Cricetulus griseus: one gene and its partners. The protein of the gene in region 2 interacts with the protein of the main gene of each other region in a biochemical or structural test. Links are inferred from orthologs where the notes say so. Each region holds a gene or a part of one and is shown on either strand. Other genes may lie near its edges.

Region 1 (3,586 bases), on a different chromosome or scaffold from region 2:
TTTGACCTTGGACCTCTAAATGCACACACACCCACCACATGTCCAAGCCACGCACATTCACATGTCTGTGAGTTGCATGTAGGCATACATGAGTGCATGCACACACACACACACACACACACACACACACACACACACACACACTCAAAAAAGGCCATCAGATGCAGAAAATCTATGAGGCTGAAGGCAAGAACTTCATGGCTATAAATAACCCATCACTTTGGGGGAACCAGTCTTCAAGATCACAATAGCTCTCAACCTCCTGAATTAAGTTGCATTGTATACCAGTCAAAATTTTTCAAAACATCGACTTCCATCCCATGTAATATTCCTCAAGGAATGGGAAGCCATGGGAAATTTTTCCAAGAGGGGACAAATGTTTGTTTCCCGAACTCAAAATGCTGTCCCAATCTGTTGCTGCCCAGATTGGAACAATTGATGATGTTTCGGCAGAGCTGTCATGAAAAGCTGTTATGCTACAAGCCAAAAGACGTTTAGGAATCTACATTCCACGTTTAAAAGCACAAGACAATATCTGTATGAGAACATTGTGTTCTGGTTAAAGGATGAAGAGAGATGGACGTTTATTGAACTTTGACAATGGGCAGGTGCTTTGCCTACCTTGCCTTACTCCACAATAACCTGCACACTACAAACTGTCACCACTTCCACTAAGGGGGGAAATGAGGCTCCCCAAAGCCACTTGCTTGAAGTCACACAGGAGCAAACAGCAGTCACTGCATGGCTTCCCTAGGTTCTCCAGGTCCCATCTGGGATACTTCCTGCTAGAGCAGTTTTTATAGTTAATGGTTGATCACTAAGAGCTAAGAGAAGAGTGAGTCTCTGACAAGAATGGGAAAGACGGAGCAACCTCACTTATGGAGGCATTTCCAGAAGACACTAGATAGGAACACAAGATCATCGTCGATTACACTTTCATGCATGTGGAATGCTTCCCTTCTGTATCATTTTTGGAGATTTAAATGTGCTTTGATTGCACGCCAAGCGCAAATTGAAAGCCACCCTCATTGTGTCCACAATTCCCTGCTGTGGTCCTCAGACCACCGTCTCAATAGACATGGTGTTGCCATTGCCCTCCTGGCGTCTGGGCTGCATTTCATCTTTGAAAGCTCTGGTCAGAACCACTTTCAAGGACTCCCTGAAGCGCTTCTTCTTGCTGCTGCCCACAAAAAAGTAGATGAACGGGTTGGCGCTGCTGTTGACAGTGGAGAACAGCAGAGAGATGTTATGCAGGTTCCCAAAGGCTGACCAGTATTCGTAGTAAAGCAGGTAGAGGACCCGCATGGGCACCGCAAAGATGAGGAAAACGATGATGGTGACCATGATGACGATGTACAGCTTCGATGAGTGGGAGGCCCACGTGTTCTTCCGTATCTTCACCACCAAGATGGTGCTGGAGACTAGCATGAGCGGGGTGAAGACCAGGAAGCTGAGGATGGCTATGAAGATGATGACCGCCCGGCAGTCGCTTCGAGACCGACTCTCTTCCCCACTGTCGATGCACATGACGTACTCCATGGTGGTCACCAAGCACGAGAGTGCCCACAGGAGGGCGCAGACAAATGCCGACTGGTGCTTGGGGCGGTGACATCTGTACCAAATTGGGTAGAGGACCGACAGGCACCTCTCCACACTGATGGCTGTCAGCAGATAGAGGCCCGTGTTGTAGCCAAATAGAAAAGTCACCGATAATGTAACGATTGTGTAGTAATGGCCAGAAGAGAGTTCGTAGTCCAAAGCATAGTCAATGGACAGAATGAAAATACAGAACAAGAGTGAGATGTCAGCAATGGACAAGTGGGTGATGTAGACTGTGAAGGGGTTTCTCCTCATCCGGAAGCAGAGGAACCAGAGGAGAATTCCGTTCTCTACAAAGCCCAGCGGGGAGATGCTCATAATGACCCAGTGCACTATGGGAATGGGCGGGTGTGAGCTCCCCAGGGAGGCATTCCTGCTGGAGGTGTTCATGGCTTTCTCCTCTGCAAGAGATGTCATATTTGACTGGTCCATGAGGAGGCTCTGGGCTGAGCCGCTTCAGGTCATTTTCTGTAAATAAGGCAAACAAACAAACTATGAAAGCTGGAGAAATAAAATAGAAGAGACAGCTTGCAGGGAGGAAAATGCTTGCTTTGTTAGCTGGGGCGTTGCTGGCGCACACCTTTAATCCCAGCACTCCGGAGGCAGAGGCAGATGGATCTCTGTGAGTTCGAGGTCAGCCTGGTCTCCAGAGTGAGTGCCAGGATAGGCTCCAAAGCTACACAGAGAAAACCTGTCTCGAAAAAACAAAAAAGAAAAGAAAAGAAAAATGCTTGCTTTGCAAGCACAAGGAACTAAGTTGGATTCCTGAGACTCACATTTAAAAACAAACAACAGCTGGGTGGTGGTGGTGCATGCCTTTAATCCCAGCACTTGGGAGGCAGAGGCAGGCAGATCTCTGTGTAAGCCAGCCTGGTCCACAGAGTGAGTTCCAGGACAGAGAAATCTTGTCTCGAAAAACCATATAAATAAACAAACAAAACAAACAAACAAACAAACAAAAATTCCATAGGTTTGGGGCCTGCAGAGCTGGCTCAGTGGTTAAGAGCACTGGCTACTCTTGCAGAGGTTCCAAGTTCTGTACCCAGCACCCACATTTTGGCTCCTGAACAACCTATAACTCCAGTTTCAAGGGATCCAACACCCTCTTCTGACTGAGGTCACCTGCCATACAGTACACAAATGTACATGCAGGCAAAAAAAGTAAATAAACAAACCGCTCATACACACAAAAATAAAAATAAATAAATAGGGGCTAGAGAGATGGTTCCATGGCTAAGAATTTATTGCTATTACAAAGGACCCAGTCTGGGCTATAACCCATGGTCCAGTTGGAGTCTGGAGGTCATGCTACTGCTGGGGTCATACAGATTTGGGTAGCAGATTAGGCTGTGGTGCCATCCAGGTCCAGGCTTCTGCGGAGGGCGGTGTCTGAGTCGGTAGCCCTATAGCAGCCAGGGTGCAGGTTGATATCCACGGTTCCTGTTGCCTCCAAGGACCTTGTGGATGCCCAGGGTCAGGTCAGCCACCTGAATCCATGTTGGTGTCTGAGGGCCAAGCTGCAGCCAGGGTCATACAGATCTGTGTGGCCTGAGCTGCTACCCAATGCCATGGTGACATCCGGGCCAGAACTGCAGCTGAGGGCCATGTCTGGGTCCATGTCCCTACTGTAGCCAGGGTCCTATCTGTGTTGATGAGACTTCTGTTACCATTGAAGTCCATGTGGATGCCCAAGGTATGGGGCCATGTTAGTGGCTGAGAGCCACACTGCCACTGGGGCCATGCCAATCTGAATGGCCTGCAACACTGCCATCTGTGGCAATGGTGACATCTAAACCTGGCTATTGCAGAGGACCATGTCTAGGTCTGTGGTCCTATTGAGACTGGGGTCTGTGTTGAAGTTCAAGGCCTGTGCTGCCACCAAAGGCCACACAGAAGCCTAGAGTTGGGACTGCAACCTGTGGCTTTATTGGTGTCTGGGGGATCCGAATGGCCAGTGCTTCTAACCAGAGCTAGGTTGCCATCTGAG
Region 2 (4,475 bases):
AGTCTCAAAAAATAAGGTAGAGCTAAATAGAAAAAGGTACCTGAATATGACTTCTGGTTTCTATATTTGTATGCACTCACGTGCATGCACACACACACATACACACACACAAAAAAAAAAAAAAAAAAATCCTGCTAACACAGTGTTCCTTCACCAGACAGCAGCTCTGTCTCTTTCCCCCCCAGTTCCCATGTGGATTCTGTATGTGGTTCTGCCACATTTACAGGTCATGAACATGTTCTAGCCCTCCATGCCTCTGTACCTCTGGCCACACCTAAGATGCTCTCCCTTGCTTCCTCAAAAGCTACAGTTCTTATTCATCAAAGTCCATTTCAAGTGTCACCTTCTCCTTAAGTCTTCCCTGGCCAAGCCAGACAGCTAAGTGTCTCCTATAACCTTCAATGTAATGGCTAGACATACATAATGGTTATTCTGGGTTTGTCTCCTGACTGACTCCGGATTCTCCCTGAGGGCAGTAACTATTCATGTCACTGTGTGTCCCCTGAACCGTGCAGTACAAGATGAAGGTATCAATAACTGAGTGACAGTTAGCACTTCACATTTTTCTGTTCTGAGCCTCAACTTTATAAATGGGGGAAATTGTGGCTGTAGGGAGCAGAACTTGCTTCAGATCACCTGGGAAATAGCTGGAGGCAGAACAGCACTGGGGTTTGGGGCTTCTGGGGTCCATCTGGAACACCACCCTCCCAAGTCTGAGTATAACACCGAGCGTTCCTGCTCTTCAGTACCTGGTGGCGATGAGCGGGGCAGTACGGGCTGGCCTGCTCAGGGCCTCTCGAGTTTGGGGGAGAGAGCAGTAAAGGAGCAACTCCTTCTCTGTCAGCAGGGCCAGGGTTGGGGCTGTACCTCCACTGGGCAACTGCAAGCAAAAAGGTAATGAGGACGGATGGGATGAAAGAGGTCAAAGGGCCGGGAGGGCATGGGGTGATAAGGTGTGACAGAAATGGGGCCCAGCAAGCACCTGTTCTGTCAGCCAGCCAATCTGCTTGATGTCCTGGCTCCCAGCTGTACCTGTGGCTGTCAGCAGTGCCTGCAGCTCATCCTTGACCCAAGGTATGAAAGTGCTGATCTGGGCTTGGATGGCACCTGCCCATGACCTTGCACTGGCCTCATCCTTGGCCCTCAAGAACAGGGTATCCTGGCCATCTGCTGCCCCTATCTCCAGATACCTGAAGGCACAATGGGATAAAAGATAGGACATGTCACTGGCCAGCTATCCATCCCAGACATCTAGTTCAAGAAAGCCACCCACTGCCAAACTGGAAGAAGCCACACAGGCTGTCCATGAGAGATAAGGATTGTGTTTAGGGCTGAAGAGATGGCTCAGAGGTTAAGAGCACTGGCTGGCCGGGCGTTGGTGGCACACGCCTTTAATCCCAGCACTTAGGAGGCAGGGGCAGGTGTATCTTTGTGAGTTCAAGGCCAGCCTAGTCTACAGAGCAATTTCCAGAGACAGCCGCAAAGAAATCTTGTCTCAAAAAACCAAAAAGAAAAAAGAAAAAGAAAAAGAGAAAAAGAGAGCAACCAGGTGTGATGTCCCGTCTGTAGTGTCAGCACATTATCACCAGGGTGGGTAGAGGCATTGCAGCCAAGCTCAGCAACCTGATTCCCATGGTAGAAGAGAAAAGTTGTCCTCCAGCCATCACACATACATTGTGGCATGTGCACATGCATGCACATACAAAATAAACAAATACATAAATGTAATTCAAAATTTTAAAACACTGAACTACCTAAACTATACAGACCCCTTCTCGAAAAAGAAAAAAAGAAAAAAAAAAAAAAACAGGTTGGGAAATGAGATAAAATGGGTAGAGAGAAAAGAAACAAAAAGCCATGCCATCAAGTGTGGAGGGAGAGCAACAGTGATACTGGAAAGGTTTTCCAAAATGTTTTGTGTTCCGTTAAAGATTCGCTCCCCTTTGGATTTCTGTACTACAAGGAGTAGGGCAGAAAGGGGAGGCTACTCCCAACACCTAGCCCATCCAGCTTTGCCCCTGCCTTCCTCTACTGCAGAGCTGAAAGCAAAGGACTTGAGTCCATGGATTCCCTTGCAGTTATGCCAGCCACATGACCCAGTTCTAACCTCTGAGGCTTTGACAGAGGTCTCTGGAAATCAAAGGAAAACCTTTCCAAAGACAGACCAAATCCACCCCTCGCTACACACATTGTCTAGTTCTCCCAGCACAAGGATGCAATTCAAAATACCAGATGTGGTAGTGCACCCTGTAATCACACCACTGGTAAAGTGAAAGCAGGAGGATCAAGCAGAAGTTCAAGGTCCTCCTGGGCTACACAGCGAAATTGAGAATAGCTCCAGCTACTTGAGACCCTTTCTTAAGAAGAAGAAAGCCAAGGAGAACCAAGGCTGGAAGCCAGGGCTCCTCCCTAAGCCAAGTTCCTGCTCACCTGTTAATTTCCCAGAGGAAGATGAGACAAAGGGCAGTGTGGCACACACCTTTGATCCCAGCGAGAAGAGAAGAGAAGAGAAGAGAAGAGAAGAGAAGAGAAGAGAAGAGAAGAGAAGAGAAGAGAAGAGAAGAGAAGAGAAAACAAGCAGTGCATACCATCACCCTAGAGTTAAGTCATGCGTCCATTTGACTCAGTTGTGAAGCACCTGCTTCATGCCAGCATGGATGCTGGTATGATGTTTGTCACTTACATACAACACAGATATCCTTCGTTTGTATTATCTGAGTGCCTCCCCACTCCAGCCTCACCTGGGTTCCGGGTCAGTGGGCGTGCACCTCCTTGAGACATATGCCATCTTCAAGGATATATGTTTGGCCTCACTGAGGTTCCTGGGCTGGGGACCAGGGGAAGAAGGCTGACGCTGAAGAGGTGAGGCAGGAGGTGAGTCCCAGCCAACCGAGGTCCCGCCAGCAGAATTCTTGAAATACGGTGAGACCTCCTTCATGTATTTAACTGGCAAGAAGAGAGGCCGCCTGTTACCATTGCTGCATGAACTCCATGTAGCATATATCACAATTGTCGCTAGTTAATTAAAAGCTTACTTTATGGAGCTGGACAGATGGCCCAGTGGTTAAGAGCACTGGCTGCTCTTCCAGAGGACCCAGATTCTATTCCCTGAACCCACATGGCAGTTCACAACTGTCTCTAACTCCAGTTCCAAAGGATCCAATGCCCTCTTCTGACATCAATGGGCCATTCATGCAAATGGTACACAGACATAAATTCAGGTAAAATACTCCAAAACATAAAATAGTAAAATGAAAATAATTTTTAAAATAGTGCAGTCCATAAACAGATGCAATCATCTCAGAATTGCTAACATCAGACTTGGAACCCTTACCTAAACATAACATTTGAGCTATCAAGCACAGGTAAACACACACTCTCTCTCTTTCTCTCTCTCTCTCTCTCTCTCTCTCTCTCTCTCTCTCTCTCTCTCTTTCTCTCTCTCTCTCTCTGTCACTATTTAAAATTTTTAAAGATGATGTTTGATTTAAAGCAAAACATCTTCCAGGCATGGTGATATCAGACAGAAGCGTCAGGAGTTGAGGTCAGCATGGGTGATTTAGCTAGACCCCATCTCAATAATCCTACTTCAAGGCCAGCCTGATCTACAGAGCAAGTTCCAAGACAAAAAAGAAAAAAAAAACAAAGTAAATAAAATAAGCACATGACTGTAAACCAAGCATTTGAGAGCTAGAAAAAGAGAAATCAGGAGTTTGAGACTAGCCTGGGCCGCACAAGCCCATCTCTTCAAAAAAAAAGGGGGGGGGCAGGAAGTGACTCCAGCAGAATACGTGTCTTCCATGTTCAGATTCCTGAGTTCAATCCTTGGTAACACACACACACACACACACACACACACACAGAGAGAGAGAGAGAGAGAAAGAGAGAGAGAGAGAGAGAAAGAAAGAAGCAATGGAAGGGGGTATAAGAAATGAAGACAGAGTTGTATGATGGTTCACACCTGTAATCCCAGAACTCAGGAGGATGGGGCAGGAGGATTGACAAGAATTGGATGCCACAGAGTGTGGCTCTAAACTGTCCTAATGCTGTAGCCCTTTAATACAGTTCTTCACGATACAGAGACACCCCTCAATCATAGAACTATTTCATTGCTACTTTATAAATGTAATTTTGCTACTATTATAAATTGAAATGCAAATATCTGATATGCAGGTTAGCCTATATCCAACCCTGTGGGGGTCTCGACACACGGGTTGAGAACCATTGCTACAGTCCAGGCGTGGTAGCACCTGCCTTTGATCCCAGCACTCCAGAAGCAGAGGCAGTGGCAGGGGCAGAGGCAGGCAGAGCCTCTGTAAATTCAAGGCCAGCCTTGTCTATAGAGTAAATTCCAGGATAGTCAAAACCACACAGAGAAACCCTGTCTAGAAAAAAATTTTAAAAAGCAATAAATAAATGTAATATAGAATAAAATAAAAAGTAGGAAGAATGAAAGAGGATGGAGAGAAGAAGGA
Region 3 (5,033 bases), on a different chromosome or scaffold from region 2:
CTCAGCTCCTTTTAAAAACATGTTATGCAGCATGAGATAGCTTGTTAGAGAAACGTAAAACAGACTACCAGACTATGCTGACAGAGTAAACCCTGTAACTGTGCCTAAACATTTCTGTAAATATAAATATAGACAACTCTACCCTGTAGTGTTCTTAGATGTTAACAGAAAATACCAGCACCAGGCCTGAAGATAGCATTCTAAAGATGCTAAGAATACTATCCTGGCATGGACTGCACAGTGAACATCACTGCTTGACGGAGTTCCAGCATTTGGACTCTGGAGATCACACTTCTCCAGCACCTTTTAATTTCATTTTTAATGATTCTCACTCTTAGGCCTTTTCCTTCAGGGACTTTTGAATATGGACCTTTGAAGGATAAAAATGTGTAGGATGGTAGGTAGCCCTCTATTACAAAATAATCCTGTGGTAAAAAATCCTTGCCAACTCAGAAACAATCGTGGTATCTCGGTCTTAATGACTGGGTGTTAGTTTCTTTTTTGTCATATAAATTTTCCCAAGTGTTTTAATGAGTACGGAATCAAAGGGAAAGTTCTAGAGACACCACATCTATGAACCCAAAACACAATTCTGGATAAGGAGCATCATTGAAGTCATCCTACCTTCCATACCTCGAGGAAGGATGAAAGCCTGAAATACAGGGCAGATACTGTACAAGAAACAGGCGTGTCTAGAAACAAACTGGAATTGATAGGAGCGTGTGCTAATTTGCAGATAAGAAACTGTTGGTGACACTGAAGGTCACATCAGGGAAAGAGTGGCACATGCCCGCAATCTCTGTCCCTGGGGAAGAGGACCAATGTCAAGTCTCCCTAGGCAACACAGAGAATCCAAGGCCTGTCTGGCTAATTTAGCAAGAGTCCGCCTCAAAATAAGTGGATAGGGACATTGCACAATGATAGATCCCTGGGCTTAATCCTCTGCTGCTCCCCCACAAAACTTCAGATTGTTAACCACTAGTTTAAAACAAAACAAACAAAACCCAAAACAAAACACACAGGAGGAAAGAGCAGTATTGATGTGAACTGTAAGGATTTAGGCATTATCTCGGCCTGCCCCTGTCAGCTGGCAGAATGCACTCAGGCGGTACCCCGGTCAGCCCAGGGTTCCATGGTTGTATAGTCTGCAGGCGGGTGCAAAAGACTCCTTTAAAAGAAAGACCCCCCACCCACTGAACGCTGTCTTTCTTGCTCTCTCTTTCCCTCTCTCTTTCCCTGGGGCAGATGGGACTTTTCCTGTCTCCCTCTTCTCTTCTGTCCTCACTCTGTGTTTCTGTGCCTTTTTACCTCCACCCCTCTTCCCTTTCTAATAAAACTTCTCACTAAGCTCTGTCTGCCTGGCATGTTTGTCCCTCCGCCTCGGTCACCCTTGCCTGTCATGGAATCCACCAAGTTCCTCCACAACACTTTTTCATAACATGAACATCTGTGAGCTGTGGCAGCACACACTGAGATAGCTGTCTTACGCCATGCCATCCCTGTCGCTAATATCATTTAGTTACCCTCTCATCTAGATGGACTTCAACGCACAGCACAGTGAAGCAGATGATGGAGTTAGCATTATCTCACGACTTAACCTCGTTCAACGCTCATCTTTGTTCGGCGTCCCACACTCAACTCTCCTTTTTCTATCACCTTCTTTAAATGCAGCTTGGTGGTTGGGGTGACAGAGTACAGTCAATGGGACCTAGGCAGGCCTTGAAAGGCCTCCTGTATGTGCTGACCGGTTTCAGCCTTGAAGCCTGGTATGCCAGGATTTGTGTCCATGATTTCCTCTTGCCCAGGCTTTTAGGGTCATGTGTTCGTCACTCCCTGCTATTTTTATTCCTTCATTGCATTTCCTTCTGGTTTGAGGAGGGAGGAGGACATGGATTATTAGCTTTTGAATGGCTACTAGACAGCCCTCAAGGAGGCCCAGTCTTATTTCTTCACCAAAGTGAGTTAAAGAAACACTCGAAGAGAAATAGCTGTGTGTGTGTGTGTGTGTGTGTGTGTGTGTGTGTGTGTGTGTGTGTGTGTGGTGGTGGTGGTGGTGGTGGTGGTGGTGGTGGTGTGCCTGTGCTGCTTCTCCAAGTAAAACAAGAGTAGTCCAACCAGGAATGAGAGAGGCCTAAAGCACTATCGCCCCTCCCAAAGCGATCTGCAGAAGGTAGCAGAAGTAGAAAAGGTATCAGAAGTAGAAAAGGATGGAGAGGCCAGCTGGGATGCAGCATCCGCTGGGGCTCACAGCCACCTGTGCTACCTAGCCAAGACTGTCACCCCCAGCGTGGTGAAGTGGTTCAGGAGGCTCAGAGGACATCAGGGTGGCACAGGCCCTTCTCAAGCCCCTGGAAGACAACCACAAGCCTCTCTTGCCAGCAGCCTCTACCTTGACTTCCTGGGAACCGAAACAGAACACCTTGCCTTCCTCGAAGACTCAGATCTTCTTCAGAAAGAGCTGCCATTCCCTCCACGCACTTCCCCACCCATCCAAACCCACTGCAAGGACACCGCCCAGGATGCTGTAGGTCAGGGAAGATTCTGGAGAACACCTCGGGGGCGCTGGCCTGGCAGGGCCCGCCCACTCACTGTCCTGAGGTGCCCGCACCAGGACTGCACTAGCAGCTGGTGGCGTGGGCCCTGCAACCTCTGGATCCCCAGACCTCGGGGGCCCCCGAAGCGCCCGCCCGAGCCCGCGCCGGATCGGCTTCGGGATTTTGTCTATATAAGGGCTCAGGGCACAAGGCGCGCGCGGGCTGGCAGCCGGGGTTGCAGGCTCTCTGCACCCGCGTGCGGTCCCTGGGTAGCCGCACTCGCTCTCCTCCCGCCTCGTCCTCCTCCTCCCGTCCTCCCAGGGAGCACCGCCTTTACCTGGCTCCAGCACCCGGTGCACACACCGCAGCTCTCCCGGTCCCCCCGCCCAGCTGCAGCCTCCTCGCCTCGCTGTCACCGGCTGAATGGAATTATTTATTTATTTATGTCCCCTGACGTGTCCTCGCCTGCCGAGGCCTGGGGGAGGGGGACGGGGGCGGGGGCGGAGGCAGATTGGGGTACCCGGGAGCGCGCCTGGGTGCGGTGCCGGGGAGGACGCGGGAGGAGGGCGCGGGCTGGGGGCGCAGGGAAGGAAGGCGCACTGAGCATGCTCCCAAGGGCGCCGTGGTTGTGCTGGTCGGTGCGAGCTCTGTGGCTCCCAGCACTCCACTTCGGGTTTTAGTTCTGACCAGGAGCGATCGGTGGTGGCTGGGCACTCAGACTTGCTTCCAGGCTGGTGCTTTGGCGCCCAACCTGAGAAGGCAGGTGTGAGGTGGCTCTAGAGACCTAGGCTGTTATGCAATCTCCAGATAAGGATGCCGAGAGGAGCCTGCTGCGGAAGGCAGAGAAAAGAGCAAGACCTCTTCATGAGCTAGGGCGGAAAGGGCTGTGTGACTCATCCATCCATTCATGCATTTGTCCCTTCATTCAGTTCAGGATTTCTGTCAGTAGTGAGTGCTGGCCCGATTGAGGATGGAGAAAGAGATTCTGGTCAGAGCCAAATCCCTCCATGGAAAAGACAAAATTTAGGCGAAAGGAGAAGGGGAACAGAAAACAGCACAAGACGCAGAAAGTATGAGAATTCGGTGGTGGGGGAGATTGTCGATTTTAATTCCTTTCCTTTTTGTAGCTCACATTATTCCAGTTTTCAAGACAGGATTTACTTACTTGACAAAGAATAATGCACAAATGTTGATTTTGTTTCTTCCCCTAACATGTCCTTCTTGGGGAAGTTAAAAAGAGGAAGGGTTGGCGCTGAAGAGTTAGACAACTCCCAAGACTGGCTTTCTTTAACCTCTTTAAGTGGACTCTCTGATTAGAAAAGCTGTGTGGAGCTTTTGCATTTGAGAACTTCGTTGAAGTTTTCTGTCCATTTAACTGGCCTTTCCTTCTCTTAATTTCATAACGCAACACTCCATTGTAGATGGAGTCTACAATTGTAGACTGAATTGTAGATGCAGTCTACAATTAATTACGTTATACACATTTGGAGGCAGACACGGGAAGGTGGTACCACTTGGATAAATTCGGGAGGTATTGCTTTGCTCCAGCTAGTCAGTCTGTAGGCAAGGGCAGAATTTGAATTTCAGGTTCTGCAATTACAAAAGAGGAATATGGTTTGCATAAGACTTAGGCAGGACGAATATATAAAGGGAAATATAAAGCGATCAGGAGAAAATTTGAGAGGACCCAGTGGAGTGGTGGCCGCTAGTTTCCAAATGTGCCATACAAAAAACTTCATTGGATAAAGAAGTTTGCCGCCGAGTCCGGTGGCCTGAGTATGATGCTCAGAATCTACATAGCAGAGAGGACCTACCCTTTCAAGCTGTTCTCTTTCCCCCACACCCCTGGCAAGCATGTACATGTACACACGTGTATACATACACATACAATACACACGAAATAAATAATGATAAATGTTAACTGATTTTAAGAAGATTATAATTCCAAAATTAAAAGTTAAGGCAGAACATTCTGGAAACAACCTGTTTTCTCAGGAGGAAAAGTAAACTCAGCATAAATAGATATTTGTAGAAGATAACAATTGAGAATCTAACAAAGACTATAAATATATTTATATCATTGCCAAGAAAGAGTGATAAACATTTAAAAGAAGCAACCTGAAGACATAGCAAGGTCATGTTCTTGGATATTTGTTATTAAGATTTTTTCCTGCTCACCCATCTCTTTTATTTCTTTTCCAAGAAAAGGAAGTGCAAGAAAGCCCGAAGTTGTTGAATTTAATCTGTTCTCCCCTTTCCTTCTCTTATGTGTTTTATTTTTTTTTATCTTATTTTCTCCAGTGTCTGGTCTTATTTAACCCATTGCCAAACCTGCAAACATCAACACTCAACATTTTAGAAACATAGCATGCTTTATTTGTAAGTGCTGTTTTTCTAGTACTTAAATCTCTCAATCCTGCTGGGCCTGGTGGTACAGCTGAGGCAGGAAAGACTGGGGCTTCCAGGCTATGAAGTGAGTTCAGGGTCATCAAGGGTTAC
Region 4 (5,170 bases), on a different chromosome or scaffold from region 2:
TCCGAGCACTAAGGAAACTGTTTTTTCCTCCTCCTTCAGCTCTGTTCTTCCTACAAAGCTGCGACCACACTCTGGAGGGAACGACAACTTGGTAGCTGTCTTACCACTCTTAGGGAACTCTCTGAAAGGCAAATGCTCAGGGTTGAGGTAGAGGTGGCTGGGAGGATTTGAGGACCTCTGCCCAGCCGGTTCACTATACCCACACCTGACATCATTGGGAGCTCAGCAGTATAACTGAGATTCCCAACGGCACTTGAGGGCTTGGAGTTGGTTCAGTGGTAAGAGCGCTTGCAAGTCTCACAGCCTGGGTTCCATCTCCCACCTCCACACAGTGGAAAGACCCCGACCACATACACACCACGATGTCTCCCCCAACACCACAAGCAAATAAATACACGCAATAATTAACAACAACAGAAAGCCCAAACCAGCCAAACAAACAACAGCACTGACTACAGGCATGCCCTCGCCAGGTCACAGTGGCCACGGAAAGGGCTTCCCAAGTCCTCACAGTAAAATGTGGAGGTCTCTGCCTTGGTGGACAGCACCATCCCTCTCTGAGACTCCTCAAGTCCCTTCTCTGAAATCTAGAGACGAGACGAGTGGACCAGTGAGTCAGTTCAGTGGCAAAGGCACTTGCTGTTTAAGCTTGACCACCCATGTTTGATCCCGGGAACCCACATGGTGAAAGGGGACAACTGTCCCGTGCAGTTTGTCCTCTGACCTCCACATTCCCCCCACCCCCCCACAAGAACACAGTAAGTAAATAAGCATGTCTTAACAATGAAATGCGGAGAAGGACTGGTCCCCCTTCGGACGCTGCCTGAACTGGGCCCCCGGAGCTGGTTTGGCACTCTTTGCCCCACTGCTTCACTCCAATAGCTCTGTCAGCAGGCAGGAAGCATTTTTAGGCTGCGGTTTATGTAATTGGACGCTAACCAGAGTTCTTTGAGAAGCTCTCAAACTGCAAACATTTTGTCAACACCTAGTTCAGATGCAAGCGCTGTCTCCTTCAAAAGATGCCCACATGAGAAAAAACTAGAGGCCTTTTTACCAAGGCCTGGCTTTTCCTTGGCTGAGCCTCTGCAAGGGGCAGCGGGAAGTGTGGGGGGAACCTCCAGGTGGTGGTGGGTGGGGACATTTGGAGCCACCAGAAACAGGACAACGCTGAGGACATCATTTCTTCTGGAATCCTACTGCTGGTTTCAAGGCTGTTTTTCCTCTTGAAGAAGCAGAGGGGATGTCATGGCTTTCTCAAAGTCTCCTCCACCCCAAATACCCCCTAGGGATCTTGTTAATGAGCAGGCACTATCTAGGGTGGAGTTTGGGGTTCTATTTTTCTAATCAGTTGCTTGCCCCAGGAGCAGTAAGGGGTCTTGCCCAGCACCCATCGTGTATCAGCCCAGGACAGAGGCGGACCACAGGGATTAACAGCAAAGGATATGAATGTACCAGGATCTTCACTGCCGCTCTGCGTACGGGGTGGAAGGGGCTAAGGACGTACAAGGCATTGGTGGCGCTGAATCGGAAGATGGTTTTGCCCTTATTCAGCACGATGAAGGTCTGTAGACAGAGGGAGACAGCTGTCATCTCAGAGCCCCAGGTCGAGGCTAAGGGGCAGGGAAGCAGGAAAGGAAGTGAGACCCCATGCCTGGGCCGTGAGTGAAGAGGGGGAAGGTGGAGTCTGGGTGATGTCAGGTTGGTTGAGATTTTCTTTAGTTTCAGAATTACCATCTCAGCCAGGACCCTTTCAGGGGGTGTGGTGGCACACACCTATAATCACGGGAGAAGAGGCCTGAAGCCCACCCAGCCTGGACTCCATCCTTAGGCTCACCTACTGCCTGTCCCTCTACTGGTCTCATCTGACTCCAACCTAATCCTCTCTATTCCTCTCATGGTGACCTAGACTCTCTCAGCCATGTCCCTAACCCCAATCCCAATCCAGTCATCTCTGACCGTCCATGACCTAAGTCCACCTACCCACTCACCCAATTCACCTCTGGCCTAATAACTCTCACACTCATGCCCAACCCTGACTGACTCTAGTCACTTGAACCGGGAGTTCTGGAAGCTTCACAGTAGCCCCAGGCCAGCTTTCCTGACAGCGGGGACTGAGTGTGTGGGTCTCCACATCCATAGCTGATCACACACGCAGCCCTGTATGTGCACACACATACACACACAGATACACACACAGAGAGACACACGCTACACACACACACACACACACACACACACACACACACACACACACACAGGCTCCTAGTCTCCCAAAAGTTGTCTCTGACCATGCTGACAGACACACTGACACTCGTTACATGAACCCTCACACTGACTACGGTTGTCTTTCGCTCTGCTCTTAGCTTGGAGCTGACCATAGCTCTGGTGCCTGGCCTTCAGGGAAGTACTTTCTCCAGATTCCAGCCAGTTGTCCCACTACCAACCCCCCCCCCCAATTAGGCTCAGAAGTGAGGATAGTCGGGTGGCCTGAAGAGGAGGCCAGGGCAGGGTCTTGGAGAAACAACACCCCCTTCCCTCTCCGGGGGAGCCATGATGACAGAACAGGTCTTTCCCACAATTCCATGCCTCAGCAGTCGCGGCCTCTTCTCCCCTCTCAGCCTTTCATGGCCTCTGTGGTTCAGGGGAGGCCATACGGCCCAGGAATCTGAGACCACTGTGGCTCAGCTTGAGCCAGCTGGCTCTCTGAGCTGCCAGAAGGATGGGAGGAGCACACACCACTTTTATTTAGAAGGGAGACCACACAGGGCTTTACTCCAAGTGCTCACCCGTCTAGGAACAGGAAGGAGTACCCTAGAGGTACACACCAAAGCACTACATGAGAAGGAAAGACTTCTGTGGTCTTCCTGCCCCCAAGTTAGGGCCCCAAACACCACTATTTATGTCTTCACCCCAGAACTCCAAATTTAAGGTGACTGGAATATAGATCAGTGGTAAGTCACTCCCCCAAAGCCCAGGGGAGCCAGCCCCACACAGAACCCCACATGAGCAGAGCCCCATCTGCCTGCTGTCTTCCTAGGAGCTACCTAGAAGGGTGAGGAGGGTGTTGAGGGGGTGGCAGTCACCTTCTGGGTACTATAGAAAGGGTCCAGATCTTCCAGGGGCTCCCCGATGAGCTCTCGGGGTGGGTTGCCATAGAGATCTGGCAGCTTTTTAGAGGCCTGCAGGTCCAGCTGGGGCTGGGGAGCTTCCTCCTCTGGCAGGCCCTCACGACTCTCCTGTGACGTGGCCGAACCTCGGGCCTGCTTTTCCGCCATGCGCTTCTCGATGGCCGCCAGAGACTCCCGGGTGAACCTACGGAAGCTGCTGGTGCCCCGAGGTAACAGGAAGTTTGCCATCTTCTCATCCTGCTTCTGGGGGCACAGGATCTCCTCAGGCTGCCTGGGGGGAAGCTGGAAGACACAGACATGTGTGTGAGGGGGTGCCCCAGGCAGAGGGCAGGGCGGTCGGCCAGCTATGCTGGAGCAGGAAAGGACAAAATTTGCAAAGTGTACAGGGTTCCCAGCTGCCAATCACTGGTCAGGCACACATGATTGACAGTGGCTGGGGTACACACGTATGCTCTCCACTGTGGTGTGTGTGTGTGTGTGTGAGAGAGAGAGAGAGAGAGAGAGAGAGAGAGAGAGAGAGAGAGAGAGAGAGAGAGACAGACAGACAGAGAGACAGAGAGACAGAGAGAGACAGAGAGAGAGAGAGAGAGAGAGAAAGAGAGAGAGAGAGAGAGAGAGGGAGGGAGAGGGAGGAGATGTCACTGAACTGGCAATGTGTGTGTCTGAAAACCAGCGGTCAAGGGAAAATGTTCCATCATGAGTTTACCCTGCCCACTTCCCACACAAGAAACATCTCAACTGTCCTCTTTCAAGACTCTCCCATCCCCAACTGGCTCCCTGGGCTCCATGGGACAGGATGGACAGAGGCCATTTGTTTTATCCCAGACCCTGACAGAATGGATCTTCTGCTCCCGCATGAAAGGTGAAACACATGCAAATGTCGGGGGTCCTACCCTTCCTCACCAGGGAATATTCCCAGCCTGAGGGGTGTCCAGTTCTCACAGTCACCATGCCCACCCATGAGGTGGCACACACCATGCCCGCCCATGAGGTGTTACACACCAAACCTGGGCACAAGAGGCAGCAACTGAGAGGACATCAGCGTTCACCCCAAGGGACCCAGGAAAACCCTGCGGATTTTCAGAAACATCTGGGCAGCAGCAGAGGAGTCGGCATCCAAATGTTGGCACACTGGTGTGCACAGCTGTGCAGACCTCCTGATGAGGATCCCATGGGATCCCCTGGGGACAGCGCCATCCCTAACTAGACTGATTCTAAAGATGGGGAATGGGGGGGGGGCTGTGGCTCATCACACTGCCCCACTTCCCCCACAAGAGAGGACAAACAAATGCCAATCCCAAGGAGACCGGAAGACAGTGACCACTACTGAAGAGGACGTCCAACAGACACGTGTGTGATGTCAAACCGGGAGAATGTGGCCCCTGGCGGCCTCAAAAGATTCAGGACCTGGTGCAAACACACTCTGTCTATGACAGCAAGGCAGAAGAATGCATTCTGACTGGCTCACCAAAACAGGATGTGGCCAGAGGGCTCCTGACTATGACACGAAGCCAGGGGGCTGCACCTCTAATTACCACATCAAACCCGGGAATGGCTGGGCACCGGCTCAAGAGGGCAGACTGGACACCTGCTGGAGATCTCTGCCAGGGACACACTCCCTTCCTGTCAGCCAAGGGCTATGCCCTGATCTCACTCCTGTGGGGCATGTCAGGAATGGCTCCTGTAAGCTGCCGTGGCGCCCACCCCAGCTCACGGCCAATAAGGACCCAGACTCAGGGTGCTCTGAGCACCAAGGATTGCAGACATTCAACCAGGTGGCAGGTAAAAAGTGAGCATACTCAAGGGCCTCAAGGGGCACTTCTGGGGCTCTGAGGTGGTTCGGCGGGTAAAGGCCCTCACTGCCAAGCCCGACGACCTGAGTTCCACCCTTGGATCCCCACAAGATTGGTGGAAACAGAGAACTGACTCCTGGTGGTTGTTCTTTGACCTCCATGTTTGTTGTGGCAATATAAGCACACATGAGGGGGAGAAGAAGGGGCAGGGAACAGGGAAGGGGTTAAGAGAGAGGGATGGAAGAGGGA
Region 5 (5,043 bases), on a different chromosome or scaffold from region 2:
GTTGACCTTATTCAAACTTCAAGCAAAGCTCTAAGAGACATCAAGAATTCTTGCAGATTGCTTATTCTACAAGACAATACCCACAAAAAAACATAATTCCTTATGCTCTCTTAGTCACTTAGCTACTAAATTTCCAGGGATGGCTTCAGGTCATGCCATCCATCGACTATTCAAAATGAAATGAAGAATCACTCTGGTTTAGTTGGAGGAGTACCTGTGGCAGCATGGGTGGACAAAAATAATGGGTCACAACAACTTCCTCTATACACTAGGCTAACTTCTATTTTTGCCCTAAATCACAAACACATCTGAGCAATTTTAACGATTAAAAAGACATGTAGAAAAGAAATTGTTTTTACTTAGAGGTCATTTTTGTCTATGTTTCCACAGACATTAGGAAATCCCAGCTCTTATTTCATATTTCAATAATCATATTTATATGTGCATTCATGAGCAGTTTAAAAATAATCTGAGATCAAAAGGGACAATCTAAAATTATTTGGACTCTACTTATATTTATTGCGAAGTCCATGTTAGTAAAAATCCTGGTGAAATATGTACAGCTGCATTTACCTAAGTGAACTTAATACATGATGATATTTTGAACATGCGTGCACTTTGTAAACTTAGAAAAATACCATGCTATTACATCATGTACCTGACTTTAACACTATTTAGAAACCAAAGCACTGAGCACACATCTATACCATGGCTCAGTAATCCAGACACCGACTGTGATAAAAGACTGCTGAGTTGGCTTCAGGACATCACCATCACACCAACCCCCAAAACAAAGATAAAAATAATTAAAAGTATTCCCAAGAAGAGGCTAGAGGGATAGCTCAGTGGTCAAGACCATTTGATGCTCTTGCAGAGGACTGGAGTTCAGTTCCTAGCAACCTAATCCCCAATTAGGGGAGTTGCAGCTCACACTGCCAGTTCCCAGGAATTAAATACCCTCTTCTGGCCTCCATGGGCACTTCATGTATGTGGTACATACACATATCCCCAGGCACACACACATACACAGAAAATAATATAATAAATCTTTTCTTGTTTTTGTTTTTCAAGACAGGGTTTCTCTGAGTAATAGGTCTGGCTGTCCTAGAACTCAATTTGTAGACCAGGCTGGCCTCAGACTCACAGACTTCTGTCTGTCTCTGCCTCCCTGGTGCTAGGATTAAAGTTGTGTGCCACCACTGCCCAGCAAAATAAATCTTAATATAAACAAAATATCAGCAGCTTTGGGATGGGGAAGGAAGAAATGACAACCCGTATGAGTCTCAGACTTGCCCATAATAAATTCATCCACCACCATATGCTCATTCTTAGGGCCTCAACAATCGAAGTATCAAAGATAAATGCCAAAAAGGAGTTTGGTTAAACTTTTAAAATAGTACATGCTACCTTACATTTGAACCTTTGAAACAAGGCTACTTCAACAAAGAGATACAGCTCTATGATGAACTTCAAGACATGTTCGTAGGCACTTTTCCTTTTGGCAGTGAAGATTAGCCAAGAAGTGATTCTGCACCAAGTGGTTCAGCTACAACTTCCAAATAGGCCTTTGCTAGCCTGACCCCTATGATCTCACTGGTTCTGATAACAATTCCAGTTCCAGCCTGTTTCTTTCCTCAGGAATGCCAACCTCCTCTAGCATTTGAAAATATATTTTTCCTGTACAACCTAATCCAAAAACTGAGTCTAATGTAAAATTCACTACATGAAGAAGCCAGACCAATGTGACACGACCGATGACAATGCACACTCCTAATGTGATGGTATTATAGGTTACCAAGTGTAACATAATAAGACTCCTGACCCAATTTCCACACAATTTGTTGGTCCAGCCCATAACTACTTTACAATGCAGTTGGTAATTACATCACTGTGCTGTGTGGTCATTACATCACCAGCTGGGAGAGGTAAACCCACTAGGCACTGTGCTCTTTTCCGGCTTGCTTTTCCTGACTGTTTGAAGCACCCAGACGACCTACTCATGGCAGACCCACCGCTTCCAAGGTCTCCCAAAGTTCCTGTTATCTTATGCTAATAGACCTGGCTCTGAACTAGTTAAAGGAGGGAATTAAGTGTCTAAGATCACAAAAGCTGCTCCCTGCTTCTAGTCAAGTCCAACTCCCAGAGACTCACTCCCTAGTTTCCCAACTTTGCAATTCTCTGAAGAACCTTGGAAGAGTCTCAGTCAAACACACACGCACGCACACACCACGAAAGCGACAGCGTCCTGGGCATCACAGTTGTGCCCCTCTTGGCTGCCGGCTGACTTACTTGAGGAAGTATCTCTGGCCAGTGGCCGTGAAGGTCATCTCCCACCCGGGGGGCAGTGGCAGCTCGTCGGTCACGTCATAGGATTGCTGACGGAGATGCGCGTGCTGTTGTGCAGGGCCCCCAGCGGCGCCCGCACCAGTGCCTAGCTGCAGGGATGCGGGCGACGAGTGCGAGCGGACGTGCTGCGCGCCGCCTGCCAGTCGAGGCCCGGGGTGGCCGCCCGATGAGTCGGTGCTGGACTGGCGCGAGTGCGAGCCAGAATCCGGCTCCTTGAAGAAGGATTCCGGCAGGATCTTTTTCCGCCAAGAGCTGGGCTTGGGGTTCATGACAGAGTTGAAGAGGGCTTCGAGGTCCGTGTCGAGGTCCTGCGTGACGTGGATGACTTGCTGCCCTGGCGGCGGGAGCCCAGGAGGGACCGAGGACGGATTCATCTTTCTGCAAGGGAAAAGGAAGATCAGTTCATCCTTTTAGTTGAAGTCAGAGGAGATTGTGCAGGGGAAGGACAGAAAAAAAAAAAACGCAGAGACAGTTAGGTACCGGTCGAGGGACCAGCGGTGGGGGGAGGGGGCGCCCCTGGCCTCCGAGATTATGCAACTTTCCCGCAGCTAAGAAGCTCCCTTGAGCAGGCAGCGGTGGGAGGTGGAAGGGTGCCTGCATCAGGCCCGGTCGCAGCCTCCCCTGAGCAATACACCCACCGCCGATCCCAGGCGCCGGGACCGCGGACGCCGAAGAGCCCGGCGCCCGGGAGGGTGCGGGGCGCGGCGGGTGCTACCTGGGCACGCGGGGAAGCCGAGCCTGGGAGCCTCCCGAGCTAGCGAGCTGGAACCCGGTCCCGTCTGGCAGATCCTGAGCGAATTCCTAGCAGCCGAAAGTTTGGACTCTTACATCCCCGGAGCTAGCCCCGGGCGCTCGCACTGAGCGAGGAGGCGACGGAGAAGCAGCAGACGAGAGCAGCGGCCAAGGCTCCCGGACTGTCCCATAAACAAAGTTTGCAGCAAACTCCCACCCCTAGGAAAGAGGCGGGCCGAAAGTGGAGCTGTTGAATTATGCATGACCTCCTGGCCGGAGTCAGCCTGCCCCTCCTCTTCCTCCTCCTCCCACCCGGGTCGGTCGGTCGGGCTGGCGGGCGGGCGGGCGGGGTGGGCTGGGCACTTCGCGGCGAGTGAGACCGTGCCCCCGCCCCGCCGCGCCGACCTCTCCCGCCGAGCGCTCTATCTGCATTCCTTTGAGTTTACCACTGACTTGGGGCGGGATCAAAGAGAAAATGGCTCAAGCTTGTTAAATCAAGGGGTTATGGACAAAATCCAAGCCTGAGGATAACGGAGGGCACGTAGTCGTTGTCGAGGGGCCAGGGGCCAGAAAGGGTCGGTCCAGGGCGCTGTGCCCTCGCCTTGACGGGAGCGCCCCCGCATCGAGATCGCGGCACGGGGCGCGGATCTGCCCGAGGTCGGGCCGGGGCGCACCCTGGCGCAGGGAGACACCCGCGAGGCCAGACTTTCCACGGAAGGCTGCTTAGCGCTTGTGACCATATTTGGTCTGGTGAGGAGGCAACTTGGCGGTTTGGCTTTCAATTGTCTGCAAGAGCGTAGACGGTGTCCAAAAAGTGCCACTGTTGCTGAAGATGCGGCTTTGCCAAAGAATCGGTTGTAAACTACCAGCCTTCAAGCCTTTCATCAATAGTTAGTTTGCTCTACCGGGTGAATCCAGGATACTTGGGGTTGAAAGAAAAAAAAAAAAAAAACAGACAACGCTGAGTTCTAGAAGAGCCAAGCAATTGCGCCCCCTTCCCTCCTCCCGCGGCGTCTGAGAGGGTAGTGGGAGGATTGGAATGTCCCTGAGTCCCTCCAGGGAGCCTGGAACTGGGATGGAACCGGGGCAGGTGGCTAAGATGGAGAGGGTGTGTCAGTGACTCGGAAAAAGCTACCCACCCTCCCAGCGACTGGACCTGGGCCAGAGGTGGAGACCCCTGCCTGCCTTTGGGAAAAAGGAGTTCAGGCCTGGTAAGACAGCTGCCAGGAAGAGGGAGGCGGCCTTGCCCTTCCTACTGCCAGCTGCTCAACTCTATTCCTTCTTTCCTTCGGCCTCTCTCCAAGAAAGGGTGGCCGCATGTTAAGTCAAATTCCAGGAAGCCCCTACCCGACCCACAGATTCTAATAGACGTTTATTAATGATAAGCTAAGTAAGGCAATACCCGTAAAACACTTTGCTTAGCCTGGGCTGGGTACAAGTTTGTCAACAGAATTATATTAAACTCAGGCATTGTGACTCACCTTGTTAAAGAGCAAAATAAAGTCAAAATTAAATCCACAGTTGACGGACAGAGTTATAGAAAAATGAAGAGGCCTATGATCTACCAGAAAGTTGAAAGGACAAAGGCACTTTAAGAAATAGAAGAGTGGATAACGATATGGCTCAACAGGTAAAGACCCTTGCGGGCAAGCCTGACAAACTGAGCTCCATTTCCACACCCAACATGGTGGAAGGAGAGAACCAACTTCCATAAGTTGCCCTCTGGTTTCCACATAAGTCCCTCCCACCCCAATAAAAATGATATTTAAAAAAAAATTTTAGTCTACTCGAATAACTGTATCCTATTCCAAAGTGTTAACTATGCTTGAGCTGTGACCTCCATGCCTCTCAGAAGCTGGGCAAAAACAGCGTAGCCTTATGTCAAGGCCTCTTGAACTTTCCACTCATGGCCCCTGTTTGCCTGAAAAATGGTTACCCAACCCCTAACTATATAGGTGTATAAAA

Evidence for each region.
Region 1: the proteins of Snta1 (region 2) and proto-oncogene Mas interact in a test that uses a peptide from one of them, tested with the Homo sapiens proteins (2 studies listed by BioGRID and IntAct). The link is inferred for Cricetulus griseus from reciprocal best matches to the Homo sapiens genes SNTA1 and MAS1.
Region 3: the proteins of Snta1 (region 2) and Slc16a7 interact in a test that uses a peptide from one of them, tested with the Homo sapiens proteins (3 studies listed by BioGRID and IntAct, with this or other methods). The link is inferred for Cricetulus griseus from reciprocal best matches to the Homo sapiens genes SNTA1 and SLC16A7.
Region 4: the proteins of Snta1 (region 2) and Scn5a interact in a test that uses a peptide from one of them, tested with the Homo sapiens proteins (2 studies listed by BioGRID and IntAct). The link is inferred for Cricetulus griseus from reciprocal best matches to the Homo sapiens genes SNTA1 and SCN5A.
Region 5: the proteins of Snta1 (region 2) and Wwtr1 interact in a test that uses a peptide from one of them, tested with the Homo sapiens proteins (2 studies listed by IntAct, with this or other methods). The link is inferred for Cricetulus griseus from reciprocal best matches to the Homo sapiens genes SNTA1 and WWTR1.

What each region holds. Positions count from the first base shown.
Region 1 is NC_048595.1:288,210,128-288,213,713, reverse strand, and holds proto-oncogene Mas, read right to left. Parts: upstream 2,038-3,586; 5' UTR 2,032-2,037; coding exon 1,057-2,031; downstream 1-1,056. UniProt on the Homo sapiens protein: Receptor for angiotensin 1-7. Acts specifically as a functional antagonist of AGTR1 (angiotensin-2 type 1 receptor), although it up-regulates AGTR1 receptor levels.
Region 2 is NC_048599.1:25,249,809-25,254,283, reverse strand, and holds part of Snta1 (alpha-1-syntrophin), read right to left. Parts: intron 2,947-4,475; coding exon 2,742-2,946; intron 1,191-2,741; coding exon 983-1,190; intron 881-982; coding exon 750-880; intron 1-749. UniProt on the Homo sapiens protein: Adapter protein that binds to and probably organizes the subcellular localization of a variety of membrane proteins. May link various receptors to the actin cytoskeleton and the extracellular matrix via the dystrophin glycoprotein complex.
Region 3 is NW_023276806.1:132,026,595-132,031,627, reverse strand, and holds the start of Slc16a7 (monocarboxylate transporter 2), read right to left. Parts: upstream 3,357-5,033; 5' UTR 2,872-3,356; intron 1-2,871. UniProt on the Homo sapiens protein: Proton-coupled monocarboxylate symporter. Catalyzes the rapid transport across the plasma membrane of monocarboxylates such as L-lactate, pyruvate and ketone bodies, acetoacetate, beta-hydroxybutyrate and acetate.
Region 4 is NC_048597.1:226,639,594-226,644,763, forward strand, and holds the start of Scn5a (sodium channel protein type 5 subunit alpha), read right to left. Parts: upstream 3,357-5,170; coding exon 3,084-3,356; intron 1,564-3,083; coding exon 1,445-1,563; intron 1-1,444. UniProt on the Homo sapiens protein: Pore-forming subunit of Nav1.5, a voltage-gated sodium (Nav) channel that directly mediates the depolarizing phase of action potentials in excitable membranes.
Region 5 is NW_023276806.1:93,868,021-93,873,063, reverse strand, and holds the start of Wwtr1 (WW domain-containing transcription regulator protein 1), read right to left. Parts: upstream 3,357-5,043; 5' UTR 3,342-3,356; coding exon 3,175-3,341; exon of another isoform or gene 3,062-3,174; intron 2,725-3,061; coding exon 2,290-2,724; intron 1-2,289. UniProt on the Homo sapiens protein: Transcriptional coactivator which acts as a downstream regulatory target in the Hippo signaling pathway that plays a pivotal role in organ size control and tumor suppression by restricting proliferation and promoting apoptosis.